Rhinolophus ferrumequinum: one gene and its partners. The protein of the gene in region 1 purifies or fractionates together with the protein of each later gene. This does not show direct contact. Links are inferred from orthologs where the notes say so. Each region holds a gene or a part of one and is shown in the gene's direction. Other genes may lie near its edges. The genes, in order: XPO1, ATP-dependent RNA helicase DDX19A, NCBP1 and NXF1.

Region 1 (6,976 bases):
ATGTTTTTGAAATCTAAGCATGTGATGTGATGTAGTGTTTTGCACAGTATTTTTAAAAGCAAATAGAAAAAAGATTTTGTATAAAATATTCTCAAAGAAATTCGCCTCCCAGTGCTTCCTTTCAGGCTTTACAAAGTCACAAATGTGCCCTAGATAGTCATTAGGAAGAATAAGCCCATGGGATTATGACTTTGTTCTCGATACATGAACATACCCAGTGAATCATGGTATGTTCAGTCCAAGTGTCTGATTTTCATGACTGGTAGGAAGAAGTGCATTTTGGAAAGTCACTGTTGCTGTACCTCTGAGCGCAAAGTGGTATCAATGTTCTCAAAACGATTGAAATAACAATTTTGTTATTAAAAATAATAGATTTATTGCATATCCTTAACTTAAAAAAATATTTTTACTACATTATATGGGCATTTAATCTTATCATTTGTATATTCCTTGAAGAGCTCACCGTCAGGGAAGATTGCCTTCCAGAACCAAAAGTTCAAATTAAAATGCAAAGATTCCTTATTTAACTCTGGTGTGACCTTAATATCTATAGCTTTGATAAGGAATAAACAGGTACTGTTCACATATTGTGGTGGGTATGCAAATTGACACAATCTTGCCAGTACCTATCATAATAACAAATATACTTGGCCTTTGACACAGTAATTCCACTTTTAGGATGTTAACTTAGAGATATATTTACAAATGTGTCCAAACATAAATGTACTGGGGTATTTACTGCAGCAGCATTTGTAAGGGGAAAAATTGGAAATAGCCTAATTGTCCTCAGTGGGGGGAATTGTTGAATTATTTCTGGTACTGAGAAGATGGGGAAAGCTATGAGGCTGTTAATAAAGGATGAGGTAGATTTATACATTCTGACATGCTAAGTAAAAACTCAAGTCACTGAACAATATGTATAGTATGATATCATATATGTTGAACAAAACACAAAGCAAATATGTTTGTGAATAGATAGAAAACATCTCAAACCATCACACCCTTAATGATGATTATCTCTGGACAGGAAAAAGAAATGGCGGGGCATAGGAAGAGGACTTTTACTTTTTTAGTGTAGATAATTCTTTCTCTATTGTTTGAATTGTTAAGTGATCATGCATTACTTTTTAAATTAAAAATAATTTAAAAAATAGAAATACACGACAATTGGTAGAAAGGAATTTATGAGTTTCTGTTTCTCTTATTTTTGATGAATGTTATTGTTTTGCGAGACAATGTGAACTAGTACGAAGAACACAAACATGGGTTCTAGTTATGGACTAAAGTACTATGGGGTGGTGTGTACCTGCGTGTATGTGTATATGCGTATGAATGGGGGCGTGGAACAGAGTGAGATCTGCAAAATAGTAACTATCTTACAGGGTTGCTGTAAGAATTCAGTTAAATATTGTACAAAAAAGGTCTCTAACAGTCTGCTAGACAGCAGGCAGGCACTCAATATGGTTTACCGTGTTTCCCCGAAAATAAGACCTAGCCGGACAATCTTTTAGAGCAAATTTTGCTCTAAAAGACGCATTAGAGCTGATTGTCCGGCTAGGTCTTATTTTCGGGGAAACAGGGTATTTACATTTCCTTATCCATATCCACCAAGGTTTGAAATCTGTGTGAGTCCAACAAATGAAGGTAATGAAGAAAGTATTAGACACACGTCAGACCTGTGTTCTGAATTTGATCCTGAAAATACAGTGATCAAACATAATTATCTGCCCTGTCACTTCCTTTTGCACTTGTTAATAAGAAGCTTATATTGAATACTCCATTTTGGCTAACTCTAGGCAAAAAAATAATGGGCTAAATACAAAAAAATGTACACACATATTAAAAAAGGAAAACTGTATTATAATTTTAATACTCAATATATACCAATAACAAAAGATGAATACAAATCATGTGTATACATTTTTTTGGCACCCCCGGTATTTACATCTGATTCATTATGGTCACACAATATGAACTCCTGGGGGTATGATTTAAAGAAGGGATGAAAAGAGTCAAAGAAGGGGATAGCAAACTGAGACCATTTGAACTTTAAAATCCGCAAAGTGCTTTATGGGCCACAGCACTCCTTCACATCCACTTGATCCTTACATGTATTAGACAGGCATAGATGGTATCAGTTTCATTAAGTGTGTCAGAAAAAAAAAATTGAGGCCCAAAAAGATGAAGTGAATCACCCAAGGTCACAGTCTGAGCAAAACCAGGTCTTACTCCCAGTTTTTATTCCTATTGTTCTGCCATCTAAAAATTCAGTGACTGGTCAAAGCTGAATATGTAGAGGGAAAAACTTAAAAAAAAAAATAGGACAGTCTCAGTTTTTCTGGTAATAGAATGTTAAGTGTTCCAAATGATTAGTTTATGTCATATATATTATGGTTTTGTATTATTCAGATAGGCAATGAATAAAAACCTTAGGTCTGAAAGTCATCCAATTATCATTTTGGTAAATTTAGGCAATAAGTTGTTGGATTTTTCTTTATTGGAGGATGAGGGAGTTATTTTATTTTTTTAATTAAAGTTTATTGGTGTGTCAATTGCTAGTACAGTTACATAGATTGCAGGTGTACAATTCTGTAATACATCATCTATGTATCACATTGTGTGCTTACCACCCAGACTCAGTTCTCTTTCCATCACAATATATTGGACGAGGGAGTTATTTTTAAGTGGTGCTTTGGTGTGTCAGCCATTGACCACTGTGAGTGAAGATTTGCTGAAAAAAATTGATTTAATAAACCATTTATCAACCTCTTGGTGGCACAATGGGCCCAGAAAATTTTGGTGTGCCGCTCGCCTTTTCTTAAGCAAAGAACAATCAGTAAAGCTGAGGGCACTTGGGGACAATCGAGAGGCAACCATGTGAAAGGCCACGTGCGCGTGACTATCATAGAAAATACTATTTGGTGACGATGAAGCATTAGAAGGGCAACTATGCTGCAAAGAAAAATCGATGGTACAGGCAGATCAAGGGCACCTAGTGGGAGGCAACTGGCATGCAAGATTACCCAGCGAATATATGCAATGTTAAACCACTATAGGGATTAGTTTTTAGGAAGGGTTGGTTGTTGAAGCAGCCAAATTCCAGCCTGGGGAGACACCGAATTAAATTTGAAGGAGACTTGCCCAGCAACTATTTGTCTTTTGCAGGTCTCTGAGATCATAAGGAGCCAAGCACTAACGTCTCTACTACACCTCACCTCAACCTCTTTTACGGTTGTTCTCACCCTCAACTCCCCAGGCCCCAAACTCAGGGCTTTAAAATGGATTAGAGGTCTGGGGCCTACATTTGGCCTCGGATGTGTTCGTTTTCTTTCCACCCCTCTCCCTGATTAGAAAAATTGGGTGTGCCCTCCCTTTTCGTAGCGCAGCCCCCATTCGAGAGGGCGGGTCCTCTTCCGGCGGGCTCAGGCCCCGCAAGTTGGCGGGAGCCGACAGGGGCGGGACGGCACGGGTCCGGGAAAGCCGAGCGAAAATGCTGCGCGCCGCGCTCAAACTCGCGCCACCACCAGCTCACGAGCTGCGCCCCACCCTCTCCGTCACCAAAGGCGCCCAGCCAATGAGCGGGCCGGAAAGGCTGGGCCAGCGGGTGTGGGAGAGGAAGCAGCGGGAGGGGGACGGGAAGTCGAGGGCGGGTTGCATTTGATTGGCGGCTCACTCGAACCAATCTTCCACGCGTCTTCTTTTCGCTCCCTTCTCTGCTGGGCTCAGCTCTTCGTCCCACCTCCTCCTCCTCCACCCCTCTCCTTGCTCCTCTTCGACCCGCCCCACTTCCCCTCCCCCACTCTGCGGGCAAATCGCTGCTGGAAAGAGGCGGGGGCCGAAGCGGCGGGCTCGTGTGGAGACTTGAGGTGGGATTGACGGGGGATCTGGCCAGTTAGAGGTAGGCTGATGGCGCGGCTGTGGCTGGAACCGGCCAATGGGCGGTCGGGCTGGGGGCGGAGGCCCAGGTTCCAAACGCTCCGCGGCGCCATGGGCTGAAAACTCAACCGAGATGGAATCTCCCAGTCTGAACCGGTTTCAACCGGTTCCGAGTTTGAGGCACTAGGAGGAGGGGGAGAAGCGGCTGCAGCGGCCGCGGCAGGAGCAGCGGGAGCTACAGCATCAGCAAGAGCAACAGTAGCTACAGCCCCGGCGGCGGTGCCTGTTCCAGTCTTTGCTGCTGCAGTCCGTGCAACCACCCAGAGGGGGAGGGGGGAACCACCAGTCGCTGAGGAGCAGGAGAAGGGGGGAAAGTTTAGGCGAGCCGGGGTGGGGGGGGCCCAGCGCCGGAGCCGCGTGAGAGAGGGAGCCGTATTTTGGTAGGGGGAGTCGGACTGCAACTGGCAGCAGAGCGTCCCCCGACCGTGTGGACTCTACACCCCCTACTCCTGCCGCTTCTGCTGCCGCCTGTGGCTGGAGGGTCTCCCTGGGGCTGAATCTTTGGGACTTGACCCCGTTCCCCTCCCCCTTTCCTTACTCCCTAGCCAGGCGGGAGCATTTATTTCTCAGATTAATTTCCCTTCTTTTTTGGGGGGGCGGGTGGGTGTGTTTCGGGGGGAGGTGTCCCTGAAATAGTAAATATTGTTGAGCTTTTTTTGCCCTTATCCTTTTTTTTTAATTTCCTTTTTTAAGGTGGGAAAACTGTGAAACCCACCTTGATTTCCTCCCCTCTCCCCTCTCCCTGCCTTCCCTCGCCCTAATCCCCCGACAAGGAAGGAAGAAGCAGTTGGTTCAATCTCTGGGTAAGTCGACTGTGTCTTCGGGGCCGAGGGTCGGGCGGCGGCACGGCGGGGCGGGAGGAGGCCGGCGTGGGGCGCGGCGGCGGCCGCGGGAGGCGAGCCCAGGAGGCGGCGGCGGGCCCACAGCGGAGCCTGCGATTGAATGGAGCCGCTTCTGCCACTGGGGGATGGAGGCGGCCGCGGGAGGGGAGCGCTTGCTGGGTCATTCGTGTGTGAGGGTGGCGGTGGAGGAAGGCGAAGAGCGTGATAGTGAAGCAGGGCCCCCACGCGGGGGTGGAAGGGCTTCCCCAGCCCAAGGGGATAGGGAGAAGTTGGGGTGATTTCAGGAACATCTCTGTAAATTATTAGGAGTGGAAGTTTCCAGAAATATTTAGTGCAGCAGCATTGAAACGTCCGCCTGCATCACGTGGCCGCTCGGTGGAGAGCTTGGGATCGAGGGAGGGAGGGGCTGCCGAGTCCCTGCTCCTCTTGCAAGGAAACTCAAAAATCTTTCTAGTTTTTTGCAGGGTAGGATTAAAGTAGGAAAGGTTAGTTGATTTTTTAGGGATCTGTAAATGGGTTCCGTGTCCCAGTTTGTTTTCGGGGGCTTGAGTGTGTTGTGATCGAATCATTTACTGCTGGTGTTGTAGAGTGGACGATGCCCTGATTCTCCTTCATTCCGATGTCTCTGAGTTTGGCGTGGGTGGGAGGAAGTGGTGTAGTAGAGGAAGCATTAAAGATTTGTCCAGCCCCGAGCTCCTCTGATCACGCAGAGGCCATGCTGCATAGAGAATGGGGCGGTGAACTTGGTGCGCCTGGTGTTTGCCTCCTCCGAGTATGGGCGGGGTGAGTGCGTGCTCGGGTATGCTATAGTTAGAAGTGCTGCAAATCGCTTCGGGTGGGAGCGAGGGGAGGGCGGGCCTTAGTGAGGTGTGTTTCTACTGAATGGAGCAAGCAATTGCCCACACACCCAAGTAGCAGTCTCTGTCCTTGTAGCGACTTGTTTTTTTGACTTACTATGTAGTTATCATTAAGCGACGGTTATGATTTTACTGTTTTTGGATGTGAGCTGGCAGTGTGTAGCTGTCTGCCTATTCTGTTGGAAGTGGCAGTGAAGGTATTTTGGTAGTCACTTGTAGAGTCACCACGTTGCTGGATAACGTATACTATCCAGTGAGTGGATTTTAGGATTGAGTGTCGCAAAGAATAAAAAGCTGTGTTGTGGTTTTTCCCTCTCCCGCTATGCCTGTTTGCTATCTGCCTGATTGTATATCTTAAGCGTGTGGGATACTGAAGTTAGTGGAAAAAATAGTTGGGAAGCTGATTTGGGGGACTAAGTGTGCTTGGCATTGAACAGAAAGCCGCCATTTCTGTACTACGTACAGTTCAAGAATAGGTAGGTCATTTCGAAGATAGCCGCTAGTTCTAAGGATGGCAAACTCTAATGTGTTTAACACAAGTTTCTATTCTACATCTGAGTTTTTAGCAAGAATTTAGCTGGAAGAACTCCAAGGACAGTGTACTCGAAAATGAAACTTTTAGAGCACGTTACTTTTTTGTTTTGGCTACTAAATTATGATAGGGTTAAATGGGAGAAAAGTTCGTCTAGTTTTTAATTAAAAAAAACACTTGATATGTAGATTTTGGTGCTTTGTGGACATTGCTGTTCAACCTCAACTTTTAAGGCTGTTCTGCTCTTTTAAAATTGGCACTTGAAGGGAGGACACATTTATTTGGAATATATTTCCTTTTTTATATGGTTAGTATTTAGATCAAAGATTTTTGTTGTGTATGCTAATATTGTGTATTAAAACACGTTTCATAACTGCTATAAAAGTTTTTGAAATCATCAGTTTTACTGTCAATGGATCAAAAGACTTAGGAATAAAAAATCCTTCAACTCTTAATTTCTCGTGTTTTTACATTGTCTAACTTATGTCTAACTTAACTGACTCGTTTTTTCAACTAATAATTTGTTGTAACTGATATCGTTAAATGAAACGTGGGTTAAAATTGAAATTGCTGCCATTATTAACATTTTTAAACTGCTATAAAATAGCTAAGAAATAACATCTTCCAATCAAGCTAGTTTGTCCAAACATAATGGAATCAAATCAGACACCGACTTCCTGATCTTGGAAGGTTGTTAAGAGGGGGACACCAGGCGATGACCATCTGACCTTGTTGGGTCTAAATACAGTAAACCAAGGTTTCTTAACGTGAGGTTTCACGCATGGCTTTCAGAGTGTCCTGAGTCTTTT
Region 2 (7,576 bases), on another chromosome or scaffold:
TGAGGGAGAAGCGGTAGTTCCCAGAGCAGAGCCGCCACCCTATCGTGCCCAGCCCCACTGCAAACACAAGTGGTGCGAGTCCCTGCACTCATTTGCTCTGAATGAATGATGATGCCAGAGAACGAGAGATGCCAGAGAATGATCATAAGAGATGTTTTTTTTCTCAATTCATTTATTGATTCATCATTCCCTAATTCAACAGATGTTTAATGTGCTTTTACAATGGATGAGGTGATGGGGAGCCAATGGTGAGCAAAACAAGTAAGGCCTTTGCTCACCGGACTCACAGTTGAGTGATGATGAAATCATCCTGTTACAAGTCAACAAGTCGCAGTTCAAGTTCATCCAATCAGCATCTCAGCAGAGATTCAGGCCAAAACAGCCAAGTACAAAGTACCCTGGGAAAAGCTATTGCACTCTGATGATTGGTTGGCTCACCTGCCTCAGCCAATCAGAGGCCAGCTGGGCTCTTAACCAAAAGTTAAAAGTTAAGTCCCAGGTCCCAGGAAAGCCTTTATTCTGCCCTTGGTTTTGGTTTTGTCACCCATTAGTTCCTGGAAGTGGGTTGCCCTGAATACAAATATTAGATTTGCCACTTACTAGGCCATTTGATCTTGCCGAAGTCAACTTCTCTGAACCTCAATTTCCTTATTTGTACAATGGAGATAAAGTAGGAAAGTTGTGAGAATTAAATGGGGGGTGATTCAAGTAAATCGTGTAGGATGCATTAAAAAAATGTTAACTCTTTTTTATCTTTTCAGTCTAACCGAATCCGAATTAGGACAGGAGGGTGTTTATCTAGTCCGCAGCTTCAGGAGAATGTGCCCTTCCCGTGTCTTGGTCTGGAGAGGAGTGCGATTCTCACTGGCTTCTGGCTGGATACCCGCCTTTTGGAATAGAAACATTAGCTGAGGGGGAGGGAGTGGTAGCCCTAGTAGAGCGTGCCCTATTGCCCGGAGCTGCTCCAAACAGACGGGCTGGTTTCAGTGTTCCAGTTGGAGCCTCAGCTAGATTAAACAAATGCCAATGAGTCTTCCCTGAGAGCACTCACCTAGATTAAACAAATGCCAATGAGTCTTCTAATAGGTGCAGGCAGTGAAATAAATAAAAAGAAATTCCAGCAAATGCCCTACAAATCCAATGCAAGCAAAAATCCTATCCTCAATTCCCCAGGTGACTATGTTTAGCTCTAGGAATTGTGTTTCAGTGGAAGCAATGTAGGCATCATCATATGAGTGCTAGAGCAGCTGCACTTTGTAATGAAATAGCAATTGATATAGGGCACCCAGTGGGCACCCAGACTTCAATTTTTGCTCTAATGACCTCTGCCACAAAGGACTTACAATTGAGTCTTTTAGTGCTGCTGCTTTTGATTTTTATGGAAAGCTTTGCTGTGTAGATGGTTGAGTTAAAGAGTAAGAGGGTGAGATGCCTCAACATCTAGTTTTTTATCTTTTTTAAAAAAGTGATTGCTACAAAAGTAAGACAAGAGCATTATTCCTCAGAAAACCAATCTGCAGTGTCCCCTAGGGTTGCTGCCCAACAAGGAGTTAGGCCATGGTGCTATCTCCCAAAAAACAATGTAGCCTCCAAGCAGTAGCTCATTGGTGCTGAGGATGCTGGGAACTAGACTAGTCCTTTGGGAAGACAGTATGGTGTTTGGCATTCTCACTTCTGTAGCATAGTGTGTGCATGCCCTGTTTTAATGAGTGATTAAGAGCTGAGAAAATATTCTTATCCTTCCTCCCTTTTTATACAGTACAGATAGACTTATTACTACCTGTATTTTTTAAACTTCGATTTTTTAAATTACATTGCATTGTCTGTTTTCTTTTTAACTGACATATATGTAGAGTGCAATGCACAGATATTAGGTGTACAATTCCATGAGTTTTGACAATTGTATACACATGTGTAACTACCACTCTAATTAAGATACAGAACATTCATCAGCCCTTAAAGTTCCTTTGTGCCCTTCCAATCAATCCTGCTCACCCCAGCCCATCCCCAGGCAACCACTGTTCTGATTTCTATCACTATAAATATCTCTTTTTAACTTATGTAAATGGAATCATGTACCATATATTTTTTTCATGTCTGGAATCTTACACTCAACATAATGCGATGGCAAATCTCTCATTTGTGTTGTTGCATGTATCAGTAGTTCATTCCTTTTCTTTTGCTCTTTAAATCAATGTTATTGAGGGGTGATTTATATAAAATAAAATGACGTTTAAAATACAGGCATACCTTGGAGATATTGTGGGTTCGGTTCCAGACCACCACAGTAAAGCAAATACAGGAATACTTCAGAGATACTGCAGGTTCAGTTCCCGACCACTGTGATAAAAGCGAGTATTGCAACAAAGCAAGTAGTCGTCTTTTTGCTAATGGAGTGTCTTGCCTTCAGTTTGTAAAAAACGCAACACCTGTGAAGCACAATAAAGTGAAACCTAGTAAAACGAGGTATACAGTTTTAACAAATTTATACATCTATGTAACAGGACTTCAATCAAGTATAGAGAACATTTCTATCACTCCAGGAATTTCCCTTGTCTCCTGCCCAAACTTCCCCCCTCCAGAGGCAACCATTGTTAATTTTTATCAGTATCGATTTCGTTTTTCCTATTCTTGAATCTCATATAATGGCTCATACAGTATGCATCTCTTGTGTCTGGCTTCTTCCTTCAACATATTTGTAAGATTAATGTATTTCATCTCGTTTATCAGTAGTCTGTTCCATTTTATTGCTCAGTAGTATTCCGTAGAATAAATATGCCATAATTTGTTTATCCATTCTGTTGATGGACACTTGTGTTGTTTCCAGTTTGGGGCTATTTTGAGTAAATCTGCTATGAACATTTGTATAATCTTTTTGTGGACATATATTTCATTTCTCTTGGATAATAAGTAGTAGTAGAAATGCTGGATCAAAGGGTAGGTGCATGCTTAACTTGAGAAACTGCCAAAAAGTTATACAACAAAACCATTGTGCCATTTTACATTCTTTCCAGAAGCCTATGAGTTCCAGTTGCTCCTGACAAAGTTTCTTTGCTTGGCCAAACTTTAGTCAGGCTCTTGAGCCTTCTGCTAGGCCAATCTGTGCACTTCCTTGTATGTTTTAGCAAGAACCCTTGATATCTGATCACCCTTAGTATCTGATCATGTTCTTCATCTTCCACCATCCCCTTCCTTTGATGTCTGATCACTCTGGGTTGTCTTCAGCAAGAATTGTGTTAGGCTGGTTACCAGAACGCCCCTAATGTTTCCTCCTAGTAATTGTTCATCCACTCATACCACCTCCTGCCTCCTTGGCTATAAATTCCCACTTGCCCATTGATGTTTAAAGTGAGCCCAAGCTCTTCCCCCCACTGCAAACATCCCATTGCAATGATCCCTATACCTATTGCAATGGTCCTGAATAGTCTTCCCTACCATCTTTAACAAACGTCGTTGAATAATTTTTTAACATTCCATATCCTTATTAACACATGGTGGGTCAATTTTTAATTTTAGCCATTCAAACGGGTGTACTGTGGTATCTCATTGTGACTTTGGTTGCATTTTCTTAATAACTAATGATTTCGAACTCCTTCCATGTCCTGACTATCCTCTTTTGTCAAGTATTCAAGTCAGTCATACATTTTGACATAAATGTTGCAATGATTAGAAATGTGTCCTAGAGGGATACATTTTGAACTAAAATCTGTTAGTCTATTCATACACATATACATTAAAAGATATTTATTGAGTCTACTATGTGCCATGAACTTTTCTAGGTTCACTAACCAGCTGTGTAACCAAGATATTTAAGGTCTTTGCTTTTGTTTCGAGTTCATATTGTAGTGGGGAGACAAAAAGCAAACTGGCGACAAACAAGATGATTTTTGGTGGTGTGAAGATGCTCACTGAGGTATCAACTGATGATAAAACATCAGAAACAACTGATATCCCCAAGGGGCTAGGAGTTGGGGAGTTAGGCAATTTATGTGATATGAGCTTGGACTATTATAATGTTTTTAAATTGATAATTATGACATTAAAAAACACTTAGCCGTATAATAAGGTCAAATGTTAAATTGTATATATACTTTGTTTAGGACTATGTAAAATACCCGTGCTATGATGTGTATGGACAATGACCGGAAGGACCCAGAAGGAAAACAAGAAACGCTGCTGTATTTTTTGGACTGGTGGAATTATGGGAAAGCGGGTTTAAGGGCTTTTGGTTATGTTTTGTTTCTTGTCGTCTTACCTGTTGTCACGTTAAGAGTAGAAACTGGCACCACGTGGTATTCTCACGGGACTTTCTTTTGTGTAAGGCTTTAGAGTTCAGAGACACATTTGAGACGAGGCAGGTTTAAGAATAAAACTTCAGTGTGAAGCATGGCAAAGTGAGAGCTAAGAGCTTCACTACGCACGGCTTGGAGATTTTGAGGAACGAAGAGGCTGCGCGCCTCAGGAAACCCACAGAAGCTTCGAGCGCGCGCCTGACGAGAGGCTGCCAGGCTGGGAGGCGGCGCGGCGCGAAATGGTGACGTCTCGCGCCAGGCAGGAGCTGACGTCACTTTTCTCACCGCCGCTTCCGGTCCGCGAGAGTGTCGGTCTCGCGCAAGCGGGGGAACCGGGGCAAGTGTTGGCGTGCGGTGCGGTACTTTTTTTCGCGAGTCGGACTCCCTCCCTTGGGACCATGGCCACCGACTCGTGGGCCCTGGCAGTGGACGAACAGGAAGCGGCTGTCAAGTCGGTCAGTGTCTTCAGCTCCGGGCGGGGAGAAGGGGCGGTGGCGGGCCAAGTGGACCCGCTTTCGAATCCAGGGAGCCCCACAGGTGGGGCAGGCCCGGGGCCCACCGGGGAATCAGCCCTGATGTGCGCCTAGAGAGACCAATATCGAGCCTTTTTCTTCATCTGGGCCTGTTAGAGACTTTTATCCTGTGGCAAATCTGACCCCGTTACATAGGCTGTCTTTTCCTGTACTGCATCTCCATTTCTGTGGGGATTGTAAGGAAAGGCGTTTAGATGCTGATTCTTTCTCATCTGTTTTCTGAACGATTCTGTGCTTATTTTAACATTTTTTTTAGATCCATGCTTAAAGTGGTTGGCAGTTTGTAGCTCTTTGCAGAATAACAGATTCAGGTTTATATATATTTTAGTCTACTGCAAATATTGGCGAGAGGCACGACAAATTGTTTCATTGATGTTTAAAGTAACATTTAGTTTCGTAAACTGGTTCTTCTTTGATAAATGAAGATCCATTCAACTGGAATATAATTATAATTAAACTGTAACTTTCTGTTTTTGTGTCTAAGTTTAGATTTGTTTAGTGATAATGGACTTGATTTTAGGAATACAGTTTGTTTTTTTGGTGGGTTTTTTTTTTTTTGGTTGTTTTGTTTTTGTAGTCTGAAATCTTAAATAACTTTTTAATACCTAAATTACATTCTTCTCCAGTCACCCTTTATTGCGTTGGGAGAATTGTCAGTTTGTCAGCAGATATTTGAAATGGGCTTAATTCCTTGGAGAATAGGAAGAAACTTTACAGTCTAGTTAGGAAGGCTAGAAAGTGGAAAGTGCTGTGAAAATGGTAAGAAGAATGATAACTGAACTCGGACAAGGGAGAAGACATTAATGAGTAGGAAATTCCTTTTCAAGTAATTTACATTTGAACTGGATATTAGAGAATGAGTCATTTAAGGTAGAGATGGAGGTGAAAGGCATTTTAGGAAAATAGAATGCATAAAAGTGCTGCACTTGCTTAGAGAACAGGAATCATAACTAATTTTTGCTGAGTTACTGGGTTGTAGTAGAAGCAGTATAGAAAATATTGTAGGGAGTATATTTTTGGACCTTAACTAAAAACTTTAAGAGGAGAGGCTTTATTTGGTTGGTTTGGGGATTTTTAAGGATATTAACAAAATTAGATGGAGTGCTGGCAAGATTTGTTGGACTACAGAGAACATAATATATTAGAAGGAATGAATAGTATCCAAAGGAAAGGAGATCAGTGTGGAAATGATGCCAATAGCCCAGATAGAAGTCATATGTTGGGTGGTAAAAGTGAAGATTGGATTTAAGAGATAATTGTGGAAGTATAATAGAAAAGATTTAGAAAATAGAAGGGAGAGGAAGGCAAAGATACTGTTTTCAATTGGATCCTAATAATAGGACTAGGAGAGTGGGAAGAAGGGCAGTTCTGATATGGAAAATAGTGAGTTTACTTTTGACTGTTCCAAATTTGAGGTAAAGAGGACATCTTGGTAAATACCTGTGTTGGGAGTTCTGAAGAGTTTTCCAAGTTTGATAATTTCCTAGGAGAACTCACGGACTCAGCATATAATGGTACTCACAGCTATGATTTATTCAATGAAAAACTACAAAGCAAAATTAGCAAAAGACATGGGCTCATGGAGCAAAGTCCTGAGAAAACCAGGCGCAAGCTTCTAAATCCTCTTCCAAATCTAAGAAAGAATGAAAAGCGTATGCTAAAAGTAAAAGGGTGCACTAGAAAGAGAAGAGAGGACAGTAAAAGAAATAGTGGAAGCTATATTGGCCAATAACTATGCAAAATTAATGGCAGATGCCAAAACACAGATCTAGGATGCTTTGAAAACAGCAAACAAGATAATTGCTAAAAATGTAAATATGTTTAATTATGTATGTTGTAGAAAATCAAAGACAAAGAAAAAATCTTGAAAGAAAAAAGATGATAAGTCACATGCTCCACTTAATGTGTGCTTAATTCCTCCTGCAATAGATTGTAACAATACATCAAGTGTTGTCAGGAAAGCTCATTAGACACTCAGTGCTCAGAGTTTTTGTTGAGGGGCCTGTTACATAGTCATCCTCGGCTGAGCCTATACCCAAATTCCAGATTCCCAAAAGAAAAGCAGGTCTTAACATGAACCACATGTTTTTACAAGCATAGGGACCCCCTCAGAATTTCTGAGAATGGTGGGAGCCCTCTCAAAATCCATATTCCCAGATGCCAGCCAAGGGCCAACCTTGCAAGCTGGCTTTCCTAAGGATAGTAGTCAGCCTTGCTCTGTTAACTCTTTTCTGCACAGCACCCATTAGACATTTGGAAATGTGGTACTGGAGTTCTGGAGAAGAAATCAGGTCAGATGTATAAAACTGGCAGTTGTCCACAAAGAAATCAAAAGGTATTATCTAGTATATGGTTCTGGCACTCTAGAGTTTACAATCTAATGTTTAGCATCAGATCTTCCCTAAAAGATAATTACCAAGAATTGGTTTCAAAACTTTTTAAACCTATGATCTAATCTAGCTGTGATATGTCACAAACGTAGGCCTTAACATACTTGGTACCTGGTTCTAACCAATCTGCTTATCAGAAGGGTGGTGTAATTAAATGTTTTAAAACATTGCTTCTTCACAGTTGGAGAAAACCCTCCCCCACCCCCATTTTATTTTACCACATAGACTTGTGTACATTAACTTAATAAATAATTCATGGTATTATGTTATCCTGTGGCTTGCTCTCAAGTGTTTTTAAATTTCTTTTCAGATCAGTAATTTGCAGATCAAGGAAGAGAAAGTCAAACCAGATACCAATGGT
Region 3 (6,895 bases), on another chromosome or scaffold:
ACAAAAAGGGCAAATGCCTGCAATTACACGCCAATGTCACTGTTAAATAACCTTAGGTTTAAGGCTAATGGAAGTCTCAGTGAAATCCCTTCTATTATCTTTCCACAGGGGTTTCCAGTTTTATGTTCTACTATTCTGTAGAACTTCCTGTGAGAGTAACAGTTTTCATAATAACCTTTATACTAGTTGGACCAGATCAGGAGTCTTAGGTAGCAGCTGCCCTAGTGTCTGTTTTCCTTATGACTAGGTCTCCTGGGTTCCTGCGATTCCTCCTGTCACCCTAGGTGGGGAAAGGAACCCAGCCCCTCTGTCTAGGACCGGTCCTCAAGTGCTCCACCAGAAGTGTTCCTGAGCCACACCTGCCTACGATTCTCCTTTGCCTGGCATTGAATTAAGATCACTAGTAATGGCTCTGACTAAACCTTACCTTGAACACGGCAACAGCCTAGTGTCTCACTAACCTTCCACTCCCTGGAGGACAACCTTGATAAGCTACTTCTAGATCTATCTGCGTTAACTACACATGCACAATCCCACAACACCAACAGCAATTTTACCTTTTTCTTTGCGAATGAGTATTTCTTCTTTGTATTGACATCGAGCTCTGCTTTGAGACTACTACTGGGATTGATAACACTTGTGTCTTTTAAATCCAGGTCTGAAAATCGTAAAACACAGGTCTCCAGGTCCTCTCCCTGGTCTGGTGAAGCGGAAGAAGGCATCTGGCTTGGTTGCAAGAATGGAGCAGATTCCTTTCAGTTAACTATCTCCTAGGAAGTGAGCAAGGGAGAAACAACAATGTCCAAGTTTTTGATTACTACTTGAAGTAAACTCAAAGCTAATCAATGATGCAAATGAGCATGGGCCCTGTAGCCCATTCGCTCATTCATTCAACAAATATTTATTTAGCAGGCATTGTTCTTGACACTGGGGATATAGCAATGAATGAAACAGAAAAAGTCTCTGCATTCCAGTGGGGAGAGACAGGAGGTAAACAAATGAATACATTGATTAAAAAATAAGTCAGATGGTAAAAAGGGCTACGGAGACAAATAAGCAGGGTAAGGAACCAGAGTGATAGAGGGGATCTTTAAAACACAGAGAGTAGTCTGAGGCAGTAGCATTTAAGCAGAAACCTGAATTAGGAGGCAAACCATGCAAACATTTAGGGTAAATGATATCAAAAAAGCACAGGTACAATGGAAATCAGCGAAGCTGTGTGCTAGCAACTTCAGTTATAAACACCGTTCTTTTTTGTCCCGTAGATTTTGAGCTGGGCAAATTCCCTTTCGTAGAAGAAATAACTACTGAAACAGCCCCCATTTTAATGAGCCAGAAGAAATATACAAATTGTTACTGTGGCCAGGACTTGTCCAAAGGGACACACTATACAATCAACACACTGCATTCTTGCTTTTATAAAACAAATGTTAACAAGTGACAAAGAGGCAACATAAAACACCAGAAAAGCATGGGCTCTGGATCGCGGTGCAGCTGGGTGCAAATATGTGAACCTGGGCAAGATATTAAACTTCTGAGTTCTACGTCCTTAATTTCTAAAATGCAGATGACAATGTCTACGTTGCAAGGCTGTAGTGAGGACTGGAAAGGACATGTAAAACGTCTGGCACATCCTTAGTTCTCCTACCACTCTTGGCTTATCTCAGACAACACTCTCCCTCAAGTATCCTACTCTGGCCACAGGGCACAAACACGCCATTCCCTCTCCTGCCTCAGTGTCTCCACATACACCTGTCCCACCACCCCAAATTGACCTCCCCTCACTCACAATCCTTTTCAGTTCTTGCTTTAAACTTATATATTCCTAACTATTCTATGTGGGGATTTTGGTATGTGCCCGGCACATAGAAAACAGTACTGCGGCTGCAGGCCTTAATGAAACAGTTCAGGTCCCTGCTCTCTTGTAACTTACATTCCAGTAAGGGACACTAAATAAGTAAACAAATTAAAAAACATGAAAATATCAGTGATAAGAGCTGCTGCTTCTCAATTGCCTTTGGTGGGGCGGATCCTCCATATTGTCCCCAACTTTAAATGTTGAATGACTTTATCTATAGTCACCCTGCAAGTGATCTCATCTACTCCCAAGGACTTAAAAACTTTATTTGCCTCAGAATAACTGTGTAAGGGGAGGGGGATAATATATGTGAAACTAGACTGGCTCTTAGTTGGTAATTGTTGAAGCTGGTTGATAAAGTACATGGAGGTTCATTGTATAATTTTCTCAACTTCTGTAAATATTTGAAACTTCCATTAAAAAAAAGGGAAGCAATCATAAATAAAGGAAAATTTAAGTTAGAATACTATATACTGACTCCAGATTTATATCTCCAGGTGGAGCCCTCTCTCCTGATCTCCAAATTCACACATCCAACTGTCTACTGGATAGCTTCAGCCGGAGGGTTAACAGGCTGTTCAGAGGTAACCGTTCAAAACCAAACTCTTGCTCTTCCCCAGTCTTCCTTACCTCCATAAATGACAATTCTATCCTTCCTGTTACTCAAAAATCTTTGGGCTTCTTCTTGACTCCTTATTCTTTCAACACCATCTTCCAGTCCGTCCGAAAATCTTAGTAACTTTGCTTTTTGAAATACAACCAAATCAGATCACTTCACACCACCTTTACTACAAACTCCGTTCAAGCCACCATCCTTGCCTGACTGAATTATTGCCACAGACTAACTGCCCTCCTCCTGTAGGAGACAGTTACCTTAAAAAATAAGATTAGTCTCCAAAGGCTTCTCAACTTACTCAGATAAGGTCCAAAGTACTTACAAAGCCCCTCCGACCACCGCTCTAATCTCAACTTCTACTACTCTCCCTTTGCCCACCACCTCCGATTGCACTGTTTTCTTTGCCCGTTCTTAGATGGGTCATCGGCACCAAGAAAGCAGGGATTTTCCTTTGTTCACCTCTGCATCCTCAGCATCTAGAACACTGCCTGGCACATAGGAGGTGCTAAATGTCAATATATTTGTTGAATGAACTAAAACATTGGGTAACCAGGGAAGGCTTCATGAAGGACCTGATGTTTGAGCTGGGACCTAAATGACAAGCCATCTATGCAGATTTAGAAGCAGAGATCTCCAGGCAAAAGAAATAGTATCAATTCCTAAAGTGGGAACAAGCTTAACTCATTGGAGGCACCGGAAGAAAGTCCGAGTGGTTGGAGTACAGTGATGAGAGACGAGAACCCTGGAAGTCAGGGTATGAAATCTGCAACGGCAAGTCATGGGAGAACTGGGAACAAAAAGGAGTAACGTCGTCTGATTCTGGATTCGTTCTGAAAGTAGAGCCAGCAGGGTTTAGGGATAGATTGTTATGTAGGAGGTGAAGGAAAAGGAGGAGCCACGAATGACTTCTACCTACATTTTTTAATTAAGCAAGCGGCTGGACGCTGCCGTATATCGAAATTGAGCACCGGTCTGGCCCAACTTCTCCGCCCAGCGTTCCCGAGGAGGCAAAAGCCCCGAAGTGGGAGTAAGATGCGCACGTACCCGCCAGTCCCGATCCTTTCTTACACCTTTCTTCATTGAACCTTCTCCGCCTAATCAGTAACACTGCTCACCACCCTCGAGCCTCCACCCCCACCTTGAGTTTACGTAGCAAAAAAACGCTCGGGACGTCACTTCGCTCCGGAAGTCTTCGAGGATGTGAGCGAAAGGGCCGCCGGGAAAATCATTCCGAGCCCCTGCGGGCGGGTCTGGAGTGGAGGCGGGGACTAGAGCGTCCGTCCTAGACCGCTGCCTCCAGGCGTGGCTCGCAGCCCCGGGCTTCGGTGGGCCGAGGAGGCGGCGCGATCTGCGTGTCCCCGGAAGGACTTACATTGAAAGGTGGGAGAGAGAAGAGGCGGAGGAAGCCCGAGGGGGCGGTGGCGAGCGGCCGGGACGCCCGCGGCCTGAGGAGCTTCTAGCTCTGCCCAACCTGCCGAGCCCACCCGGCCGCCTCCGCTTACGCTTCCGGGAGCCGTCGCGAGCAAGTGCGCCTGCGCGCCGGCCACTCCGCGCGCCTCGCCGCTGTCCTCGGGCCGGCGTCCCCGCGGTTCCTGCGGCGCTTCCCGCCCCACTCGGCTCGTCCGCGCACCGGCGTGCAGCATGTCGCGGCGGCGGCACAGAGACGAGAACGACGGTGAGTGTCCTGGGCCCGGCCGACGAGGCCGCGCCCAGGTGGGTGCCGACGTTTGGCTTCCTTCGTCTTCGAGTCTCGAGGGAAGCCCTTCCCACCCGGGAGCGTTCGGGAGTCGCGGAGGGAAGGGGGGTGGCACCGCGGGAGTGTGGCTGGGCGACTTCTAGAAAGCTCTTACCCCTCGCTCCCGCTCCTTTAGTCGTTGTCCGGTAGGAGGCCTGAGGGGGCCCCAGGCCTCTAACGACCTGTCAGGATTTGGTCCTTGGCACCGCCGAGCAGAGAAGTACGTACTTCTGTGGGTCTGTGCGGCGCCTCTTGGGGACAGTGGCAGGGACCCTCTAGCCTCAGTTTCTCCTTTTGACCCTCCAACTCACCTGGAAAGGGCTCTCCCACACGATTGAAGGAAAGGAACAAAGCCGTGACTGAGAGAGCTGATGAATCGCTTTGTGAGCTCTGCTCCCCTACCGGTCATTGTTGATTTGCCTTCTTTCAAGCTTCAGGGAAAGCTTGTGTGTCTCTTACCCACACCCAAGAGGTCACTGACAAACACATGCGTGTTATGTTAGATTTGCACTGGCCGTAATTGTATTTCCGTCGTGTAAGAGAGTGCTGGGAAACTAACTGGAGAGCTCGCAGAGATTTAGCTCAGGAGTTGCCATGTCCATTTGGATGGTTGTGCTCGTGGGGGTCAGGGTGTTGTCATAAACCAAGAATAATTTTGCTAGTTAAAAGTAGGAAAAGGTGCTTCCACTGCAAAAATCAGTCAAGAACACACATCCACAATAAAAGGAACTAAGAGTCATTCTATTATTAGTATTTTAGTGTATTGTTTGAAAAGAGTGTAGTGTTTAAGAGGCCAGACTGTGGAATTAGGGGGTTTAAGTTCAAAGCCAGACCCTAGCATTTACTTTGTGACCTTGCTCAGGTTCTATCACCTCTTTAAACTTTAGTCTGTAATGTAGAAGTCATATAGAAGGTGATACATACCTCCCCACGGTTTTGTGATGGTTAAGTGAAGTTACGCTTGTAATGAATGGCTCGTGATGATGTTTATTTAATCATCTGTTAATACTTAAGAGGTAAGCATTGGCAGATGTCAATGATGTAAGAAAAATACAGAACAAAAAATTTTAATTGAATTTTCTGCACTAATATTTTTCTCTCCTTGAATGTCGGGGCAGTTAGGGTAGGTAAAACTAAAACAAGTGTATTTAGTTTTAACAACGAAACATCAGATTTCTGTTGGGGCATGTCTTGAAAGGATATTCTAGTCCAGCTTTCTCATCTGACACCTAAAGGTCTAGAATTTTAGTGTAACTGACATGGAGTCACAGCTAGCAGTGCCCAGACACCAGTGAGTGCAAGTTCCAGGGTCCTCTTCACTACCCAGGCATTATGCTTCATGCCTTTTTTTAAAAAAAAGAAACACAGGAGGTTTCTTGTGTACATTTGGGGCACACAAAATACAGTTTTCATATGCTTTGAGTTTGATTAATCAGAAGCTAATACGCTTGAAGTCATCATTTGGTGTTTAAAGAACTTGAGCCTTTTGTTAAAGTTCTTCCATTTTCTTTTCTCACACTTTCTTTTCTCCACTTCTACTTCTCTCTTTTAGAGTATCCCTACAGGGAGAGAAAATGTTTCCAGAGGGCTACCTGGAGAACTGGATTTGAATCTGTAGAAACGCAACTTTTGCTTCGGTTATTGGGATGCTGCTGTAACTTTCTTGGGAGTTACCTTCTTTTAGTACCAGCTGGCAGCTAAATCATTGTCTATTTGGGTCTTGCTGCAGGTACCTCAGAATAAGTAAAAACCAAAAAAGCAAATAAGGAGTTAATTAATCAAAGTTTACTGTGGTGAATGAATAATTTAGTAATGGAAGGGCAATTTATAGTTCCTCTTGGATACTACACTGAATCTGGAACTTTTGTAAATTGCCACAATTTGGGTAATAATTAGCTAGGGTTTACCCTAAACAGTGATCTGAATCAAATATTTTAGATACTTTCCTTTTAGTTGGGCATCTGTTAATTTTTAATTAGAAATATTAGAAGCTTAAATATTATTGAAGGCTATTTTAAAATAGGCTGAATTATTATAATCATAGTTTAATAGATATATCAGAGCATTGCTGGATATTGTCAGCTCTTAGTCAGTCAGTGACTGCCATAACTTTCCATGTGCTTGACTAGATATAATCATTTATTCAACAAATATTCATCAGAGCCAGGCACTGTCCTAACTACTGGCAGTACAGCAATGGACAGTATAAAGATGGAGCCTCCCTTTTACAGACAGGAAACAGTCAAGTAAAATATAGTATAGTATATGGTGATAAGTGTTACAGAGAGAAAGAAAACTGGGTAAAGAGGGTAGAGACTGCTGTGGGGGGGGGGCAGGGAATTACTGTTTTGTATAGGTTGTTCAGGGAAGACCTCCCTGAGAAATGCGTCTGCAGTGGGTAAGGGAGCAAACCCGCCGGCTACATGGGGGAAAGCAGGGGTCTCAGCATAGGGAATCAAAGACCTTAGGGCTAGCAGAATGAGTGAGGCGGAGAGGTAGCAGAGGATCAGCTCGTAGAGGGTAATTTTAAAATTGTATCTGTGTTGAGACGAGTATTTGGGATCCAGGGAGACAGTTAGGATACTATACCAATGGAGTTCCCCGAGAGGTCAATTTATAGACAAGGAAAGGGAAGTGCTAAGTGGAAATTAATGTGCATGAATGCTGGTTCAGTGCTAAATCTAAC
Region 4 (6,850 bases), on another chromosome or scaffold:
ACCCAAGCATCTTGAAGTTTGGGGGAAACTGAAACTCAAAAATTAAAATCTCAGATCTCTTAATCACAGTCACATAATCTTTCCAGTTCTTGGGCTCACTGTCTTTGGTTCAAACTCCGTTTTTTTGTTGTTATTGTTCCCAACTTATACTCACCTTCTAGTCTTCTGGTTTTCCAGGCCTCTCACATCAGTGTCATCAATTATCCTTTCTGTTCAGCAAGACTCCAGCTTCTTGATGCTTGATTCTTTCCCTCTGGTTTTTCTTTCTCTCCATAAGACATTCTTTTGTCCTGTTCCCCATGTAAACTTTTCCTTTTAAGTTTTCTTCAGCCCTCTCTTTCCCAAGCCATTATTTTCAGCCCTATTCATTTCCATTTTCTAACTCCCTGCTACTTCTCAGTGTCCCACTGATTACTAATTTTTTTTTCACCACCAGTGTTCCCTTCTATTAGTTTCATTCGTGGACTCCCATTTAAAATCTTTTGTGTGTCAGATTGCATTTATTGTTTTTCCATTTTTGTTCAGCGGAGCCAATGTGAGCTTTATTGAGTATGACATGACAAATGCACCCACACTGAGAAATGTAATTATAGCCCCAAACTAGGAAACCTGGTACTTTAGTTAGCCTCTCTGACATACGAGGGAATCATGTATAATCTGGGCTTCCGTATTTGGACAGAGATTAGCTGGCAGTTTTCATGACCACCTTCCCAGGACCTGGGCCTTTCCTCTCATATTCCACCTAGATTGCAAGGCTCCATCAACTTTTCTATCCTCAACAGGTTGGAAAGGTCTCTAACTCCCAGGGACTCACTTTGCAAGGACCAGGGTTTGTATTTGGTTTTTAGGATTGCATATGCAGGTCGGCTGGGAAATGTTTCCTTTTCCTCAACAATCTCTCAAGAGATTACCCTTTCTCTGAGGACTTCTCTATACCCTGGAGAGACAGTTTCTCATAATATAGGGCTTTTCTTATCCCCTGACTGCCTGTTCGTGTCATTTTTTTCCTTCTTGTCTCACTCTGAACCAGGATTTCCTGACTATGATGGCCTGTGAACTTTTCTCCCTGTTACAAATGCAATACATATTTAAGAAAAGTCAATAAATACTGATGAACAAAACATTATAATAGCTAACATTTTGGGGGCTTTTAGTATGGGTTGGGCACTATATAGTTGTTAACTTAGGTAAGACTGACAACAACGAGAAAGGTAGGGTTTGTGTTATCCTCACTTTTCCTTCTTTTTCAGTTGAGGAAAATGAGATTTGAGGTTAAATGACTGGCTTAGGGTCATCAGCTAATAAGTTGTGGAGCTGATTTTCAAATCAGATCCAAGACTTGTTTGTATTACCCTTCCAGAGCTTTTTGTATACACAGATACACTGGGGGTGCCAAAAAAATGTACACATTTTAAGAGATGTTATCTACGTATTACTTTTGAAAGTTGATTTACGGTATCAATGTGCAATATGATGTTTGTTCAAAAGATGGCATTAGGGGAGGCCAGATAGCTCAGTTGGTTAGAGCATGGTGCTTTTAATAAAGTTGCCAGTTTGATTCCCACATGGGCCACTGTGAGCTGCACCCTCCACAACCAGATTGAAACAACTACTTGACTTGGAGCTGATGGGTCCTAGAAAAACAAACTTAAATACATAAAAATTAAAAACAAAAAAAAGGCGTTAATCAAATGAATGCTAGCATCATTTGTTGTATTACCATTTTAATATAATACAGTTTTTTCCTTTCTTAAAAAGTGTATACATTTTTTTGGCACCCTCTGTATATGCACAAAAATGGAATCATATTGTGTATAAACACTTTCTACTTCCACCTATTGTGACCATCTTTTCCTGTCAGTAAATATGCTTCAATAGCTTTCTTTTTAATCTAGTGACCTTCTGTTCCCTCTCTCCCCGGCCCTATCCCCAGGATCGATGAGAACGTGCTGGGAGCCCAGCTGGATGTTGAGGCCGCCCATTCGGAGATCCTCAAGTACTTCCAGTCGGTTACGTCCAACCGGTGGCTCATGATCAAGATCTTCCTCATCCTCATTGTCTTTTTCATCATCTTTGTGGTCTTCCTTGCCTGAACCCTCTCTGCTCTGAGGCACTCCGCGGGGGTTTGGAGCTCACCTGGGAGGGCAGGTGGCCACTGCTGCCCCTGAGCCTGTGCAAGGTGCTTGGAAGAAAGGCCCTGTTTTCCTGGAACTGCTAAGAATGGCCACTGCCCCTGATTCCCCACCCCTTGCCTCTGGCTACCCTGTCCTCCCCTCACCACCCTCAGGCCCACGAAACACACATGGTTCTGGATTTGGACTCTGCTGTGAAGTGGCTGGAAGGGAGCAGAGGCCAACTGGGCGGCCAGTGGGGGAAGTTGTCTCCACTAGGAGATTTTTATAAACCCTCCCCAGCCTCTCGCAGAGGAAACTTTGGCAGCAAGGGGAGATGATGCCCTTCCCCACATCCTGAGAGTGAGGAGAGGAAGTGAAACTGCCCCAGGGACCAACTTTCCCATCTGGGTTAGAATTTGACCTCTTTCTTCTTCCTCTCTTCACCATGTGAGGTGGGGGCCCTGAGCCCCTTGGCTGCCTGCACAACCCCAACTTTGGCTGCTGGTGACTCTCAATCTGCCAAATGAGCTGCAGCCAGTTTCTCCCAATTACAGCAAGACCGTCAGCCTCACTAGCCATGTTGTCATTTCTGGGTGGGAGCGTCGAAGGGCCAGGCAGCAACTGGAGTGAGCCCCCTGCCCTGTACCAGAACTTTTCAGGTTGGGCTGATGGCTGTGAGAGGCAAGGCTTTGGGCTCTGCACACGGCAGCCTCCGGGCAGGGGAGAACCAAGTGCAGCAGCACTTCATTAGCATGGCAGCTTCCCTTCAAAGGGGGACGCAGGATCCCAGAGTGGGTTCCCGACTGGTGGCAACTTCCAGGACCATCTCCAGCAGTATTTGGACCTGTTTCACCTGCATCCTCCAACCAGTTGGCCCCAATTTTCCCCTGAGCTGGATGAGGCAGGAGCTCTGTCTGCTGCCAGGAATGAAAAGTGAAGAATTTGTTCTCAGCTCCAGCTGAGGTTCTTGATCCCCTCCAAGCCCCTCACCAAGTCCAAGCCAGTCACAGGAGAATGAAGGTGAGACGTACCTGGAATACCCGCCCTCCAGGGAGGTCATTCGGAGATCACTGGATTCCTCCCACCTCACACACCCCAGAGGAAGCTCAAACTATAGACGACAATCACCATACACTCTGCTGGCCCTAGTACTTTGGGGGGTCTAGGAGAGCCCATGTCTTTCCTAGCCCTGGCATTTTAAATTTCTCCCCCCTCCTCAGCCTCTGTTCAGCTGGTGGCCCTGCTAGAATCTTTACTACCCAGTAGACACACCATGTGGGCCTAGGACAACACATCAGTTGTGGGTGGGGCTGTTTGTGAAGACAGTTGCTCCGTCAAAGCCTGACAAATGGCAGCCTTTCTCATTTGATTCCGCAACTCTTCGGGGGATGCATAGATCAGAAATTCATTTATTTCACAAATACTTGTTGAGTTCCTGCTATGTGCCAGGCATAGTACTGAGTCAGGTGCTGAAGGAAAAAAACCGTGAATTATTCAAAGTCTCTGCTGCTTGGAGCTTACGTTTAGTTTTCTATATCCTGATAATCCATTTTACAGGCGTTGAAAACGAAGCGTTGACCCGCAGCCCACAGAGGGCTGAACTGAGACAAATACGGGTTATATCCCGCTAGGGGTCTGGGAGCCTTCACTCCCGCTCGGAGGCCCAGGTCTCCCATTCCTGGGAAACCCTTCATGTGGCCCCTCTTCCCCGCTCCTCTCGGAGTCCTGGGCGTCAGGAGCCTGCCCTCTGCTCCAGCGCTAATCCTGGAGGTGCTGGCGTAGCCGCGGACGGAAGAAAGCGGGCGGCAGGGCGAACCAGCCCCAGCCTTTGGCTAGGCGAGCTCAGGTCTAGGGCGAGTCGGGCAGCGGCGGAGCCCCGCTGCGCGGCGCGGCCGTTCGCCCAGTGCGCACGCGCGGCCGTCTGCGCTCCTCCCCGGAGGCACCGCCCACTACCTGGGGACGTCGACGGCGCGCGGCGCTCTGGGCCAGATAAATGCGGCGCTGCCGGCCGTAGGGGCGCTTCGACCTGGATCACCTGGGCGTTCTGACGATTGGTGGCGTTGTGGCCCGCGCCTGAGCCCGCCCTGCTTTTCGCTGTGCCATGGCGGACGGGGGGAAGTCATACAACGGTCAGTGTTGTCCCCGGGGGTGGGAGCGGGGCGATCTGGGCCCCGGGTGGGCGGCGCTGGCCTAGGCCGCAGCCCTGGGGCTGGAGGCCGCGAGGGGCCCGCGTCCGCGGAGAACGGTGGAGGCGCGGGTCTGGGGCGAGGCAGCCCCGGGGGTCCCACCGGACTCGAAGGTGGGAGCCCGAGTTGTTGACTCCGGAATCCTGGCGTTGCGAGGAGCTGCGGCTCGGTGCGGGTGGTTCGGCGGTGGGGTGACGAGATTCCTTTGAACTTTGTGGGTGGTGGATCCCTGTCATTTCAGTTTGGCGGCCAGACTCTTTAATGTGAGTCAGTGCCCTTCTCCTGAGCTACCTGTGCCCTATTTTCTATCGCGTCCAGTCGGTTTTGTCCCCCTTCCCTGCGGTTTTGGCTTAATATTTTAGATCTACACACCATCTCGATGTTCTAGACCAAACACTATACTGGGTCCAGAGTAGTGGTTTGGAGCACATGACAGCCGAGATTTCAGTCTTGAGTTGGCTACATCAAGCTTGAGTGAGTTAAACGCTCAGGCCTCATTTTCTACTCCCTTAATGCAGGTAGAAACAGTACCTACCTCCTAAGTGTGTGTGTGTGTGTGTGTGTGTGTGAGAAAATGAGATCATTCATATCAAGTGCCTGGAGTATGGTAGTGCCTGGCACTGGAGAAAGTTCTCAGTGAATGTTAGCTGTGCTTTCTATTCATTTCTTCTTTTTTTCTAGGGTCATTTCTTGAAGTTCATTGTTTGCAGGGTGCTGCGCATTAGGCAGACCTTGTTTGAAGTCATCGATCTTTTTTTAAGAAACCATTCCTACACACCAGGATTCAGAGGGTCATATTCCTAGAGAGCAGTCGAGAACTCTTGGTTAAGCACCCTAGCTGCCATTAGAACCTGCATCTAGAATTTGTCTTCTGAGTTAAAAGACATTTCTGGCCAAGGAAACAAAGAACTCACTCCCAAAACTTCAGAGTTTGAGAACAAGACTTTAAAGAAGTCCTTAAATTGGTCACATTTGTAACATACACTGTATAGGCAAAACAAGCATCGTTTATTGAAAGCTGATGTAATAGTTGTGGTTGCTTGGTTTAAGGGGATGGGAGAGGTCACCATTCAAATACTGAGTAGGGTTAAGTAGGTTTGAGAGTCCGAGTGAAAGCAGATTTCATTCAGGTGACTTTTGAGGGGTCTGAGTTGTGCCCAGTTTCACTTTTGGGTCACTCACATTTCCACATTGTGTTTCTCCTCTCTGTACTTCCAGTTTCTGCTTCATTTTTCAAAAGCCCTGCATGGTTTCCCAGTGGTTTTTCCCTTTTTGGTGCCATCCCACACAGAGGGTTCTTTCTCTGGAAAGGCGGGGGAGTTTGCTTGGAGGTAGCCTCTGCAGTTAGTTTGTATCTCATCCAATAGTGCAGCGATACTGTAATTGGTGCCACAGCACAGCAGCTGGGCCAGTTTTCTAGTTTGTGTTCTGTTCCCAACTCCAGAGCATGATGATCGAGTTAATTTCCCTCAAAGAAGAAAGAAAGGTCGGGGTCCTTTCCGGTGGAAGTGTGGTGAGGGGAACCGTAGGTCTGCAAGAGGAGGTGCTAGCATTCGATCTTCCCACCTTGAAGAAGATGACAGAGATGTGGCGATGAGTGATGCCCAGGATGTTCCCCGAGTAAGATAGTGAGTAACCAGTGGATCTGGTTTGAATTTGTCGACTCTTTTACTTATATACTGTTACTGTTTGTGTCGTTTCTCTTCCTACCTACAAGAGTGAGGACTGCCAGGACCAGCTTAATGGTTGAACAGTCTTAGTTGTAGTTCTCATAACAGTGCAGCAAAGACTTTGAGAAGCCATTCCTAGTGTTTATGGACATTTTATTCTCTATTTCCACACAGCAACCCCTATGCTGCACGAACTAACCGTCGGGGCGATAATTGGCAGGATCGAGACCGCATTCATGTTACTGTGCGAAGAGACAGAGCTCCTCCACCGAGAGGAGGGGCTGGCACCAGCCAGGACGGGACCTCAAAAAAGTGGTTTAAGATTACAGTGAGTATCTTGGAAATAGATGGTGTAGGAGAGATGAGAGGCAGGGCTCAGAGTGAAGGTGTTTACCCTTCACACCACAAAATTAGTCTTCTGAGCTGTTTACTCCACAGTCAGGTATCCGTCCTTTGGCATAAGGATCAATGTCTTAGAACCTAAGGGCAGGTGCAGAAAAGGAATAGAAAGAATAGGCAGCACGGGGAGGAAGGCAAGGCCATCTAAAGGGAAACGTGATGACTGATTGGGAGGTGACATAACTCCTTTGGATGTCTCCATGTGGCTCAGACTGAGTCGTGGGGGTTGGGGCCCCTTGACTTCTGAGGGGCAGGCAAGGTAGAAATAATATCTTAGGACTTTTAGAATCAAACAATTTGATTCTTTTGATGAATAATAAGTATAAATAGACAAAAAGGAGGTTAAGGAATCCATGTCTGACTCCAGTAGTAAAGCTTTAACTGGTGTTTTCTTTAGAAAATCTTTTAAACCTTGGCAGACTATATGAAGCACTAGGTTGTATCTCCTTTTCAGCCTTAGTTTCATATTATTCCCGGCCCT

Evidence for each region.
Region 2: the proteins of XPO1 (region 1) and ATP-dependent RNA helicase DDX19A fractionate together in Homo sapiens (co-fractionation; 3 studies listed by BioGRID, with this or other methods). This does not show direct contact. The link is inferred for Rhinolophus ferrumequinum from reciprocal best matches to the Homo sapiens genes XPO1 and DDX19A.
Region 3: the proteins of XPO1 (region 1) and NCBP1 purify together in Homo sapiens (affinity purification with western blotting; 3 studies listed by BioGRID and IntAct, with this or other methods). This does not show direct contact. The link is inferred for Rhinolophus ferrumequinum from reciprocal best matches to the Homo sapiens genes XPO1 and NCBP1.
Region 4: the proteins of XPO1 (region 1) and NXF1 purify together in Homo sapiens (affinity purification with mass spectrometry; 3 studies listed by BioGRID and IntAct, with this or other methods). This does not show direct contact. The link is inferred for Rhinolophus ferrumequinum from reciprocal best matches to the Homo sapiens genes XPO1 and NXF1.

Annotation. Positions count from the first base shown.
Region 1 is NC_046296.1:27,576,478-27,583,453, forward strand, and holds the start of XPO1 (exportin-1), read left to right. Parts: upstream 1-3,963; 5' UTR 3,964-4,739; intron 4,740-6,976. UniProt on the Homo sapiens protein: Mediates the nuclear export of cellular proteins (cargos) bearing a leucine-rich nuclear export signal (NES) and of RNAs.
Region 2 is NC_046298.1:21,992,132-21,999,707, reverse strand, and holds the start of ATP-dependent RNA helicase DDX19A, read left to right. Parts: upstream 1-4,569; 5' UTR 4,570-4,690; coding exon 4,691-4,747; intron 4,748-7,525; coding exon 7,526-7,574; intron 7,575-7,576. UniProt on the Homo sapiens protein: ATP-dependent RNA helicase involved in mRNA export from the nucleus.
Region 3 is NC_046295.1:54,149,556-54,156,450, forward strand, and holds the start of NCBP1 (nuclear cap-binding protein subunit 1), read left to right. Parts: upstream 1-3,871; 5' UTR 3,872-4,115; coding exon 4,116-4,149; intron 4,150-4,520; exon of another isoform or gene 4,521-4,598; intron 4,599-6,895. Other genes in the region: TSTD2 (thiosulfate sulfurtransferase/rhodanese-like domain-containing protein 2), read right to left, coding at 1-17, 558-722. UniProt on the Homo sapiens protein: Component of the cap-binding complex (CBC), which binds cotranscriptionally to the 5'-cap of pre-mRNAs and is involved in various processes such as pre-mRNA splicing, translation regulation, nonsense-mediated mRNA decay, RNA-mediated gene silencing (RNAi) by microRNAs (miRNAs) and mRNA export.
Region 4 is NC_046294.1:8,034,618-8,041,467, forward strand, and holds the start of NXF1 (nuclear RNA export factor 1), read left to right. Parts: upstream 1-3,848; 5' UTR 3,849-4,215; coding exon 4,216-4,243; intron 4,244-5,744; coding exon 5,745-5,928; intron 5,929-6,144; coding exon 6,145-6,298; intron 6,299-6,850. Other genes in the region: STX5 (syntaxin-5), read left to right, coding at 1,934-2,093.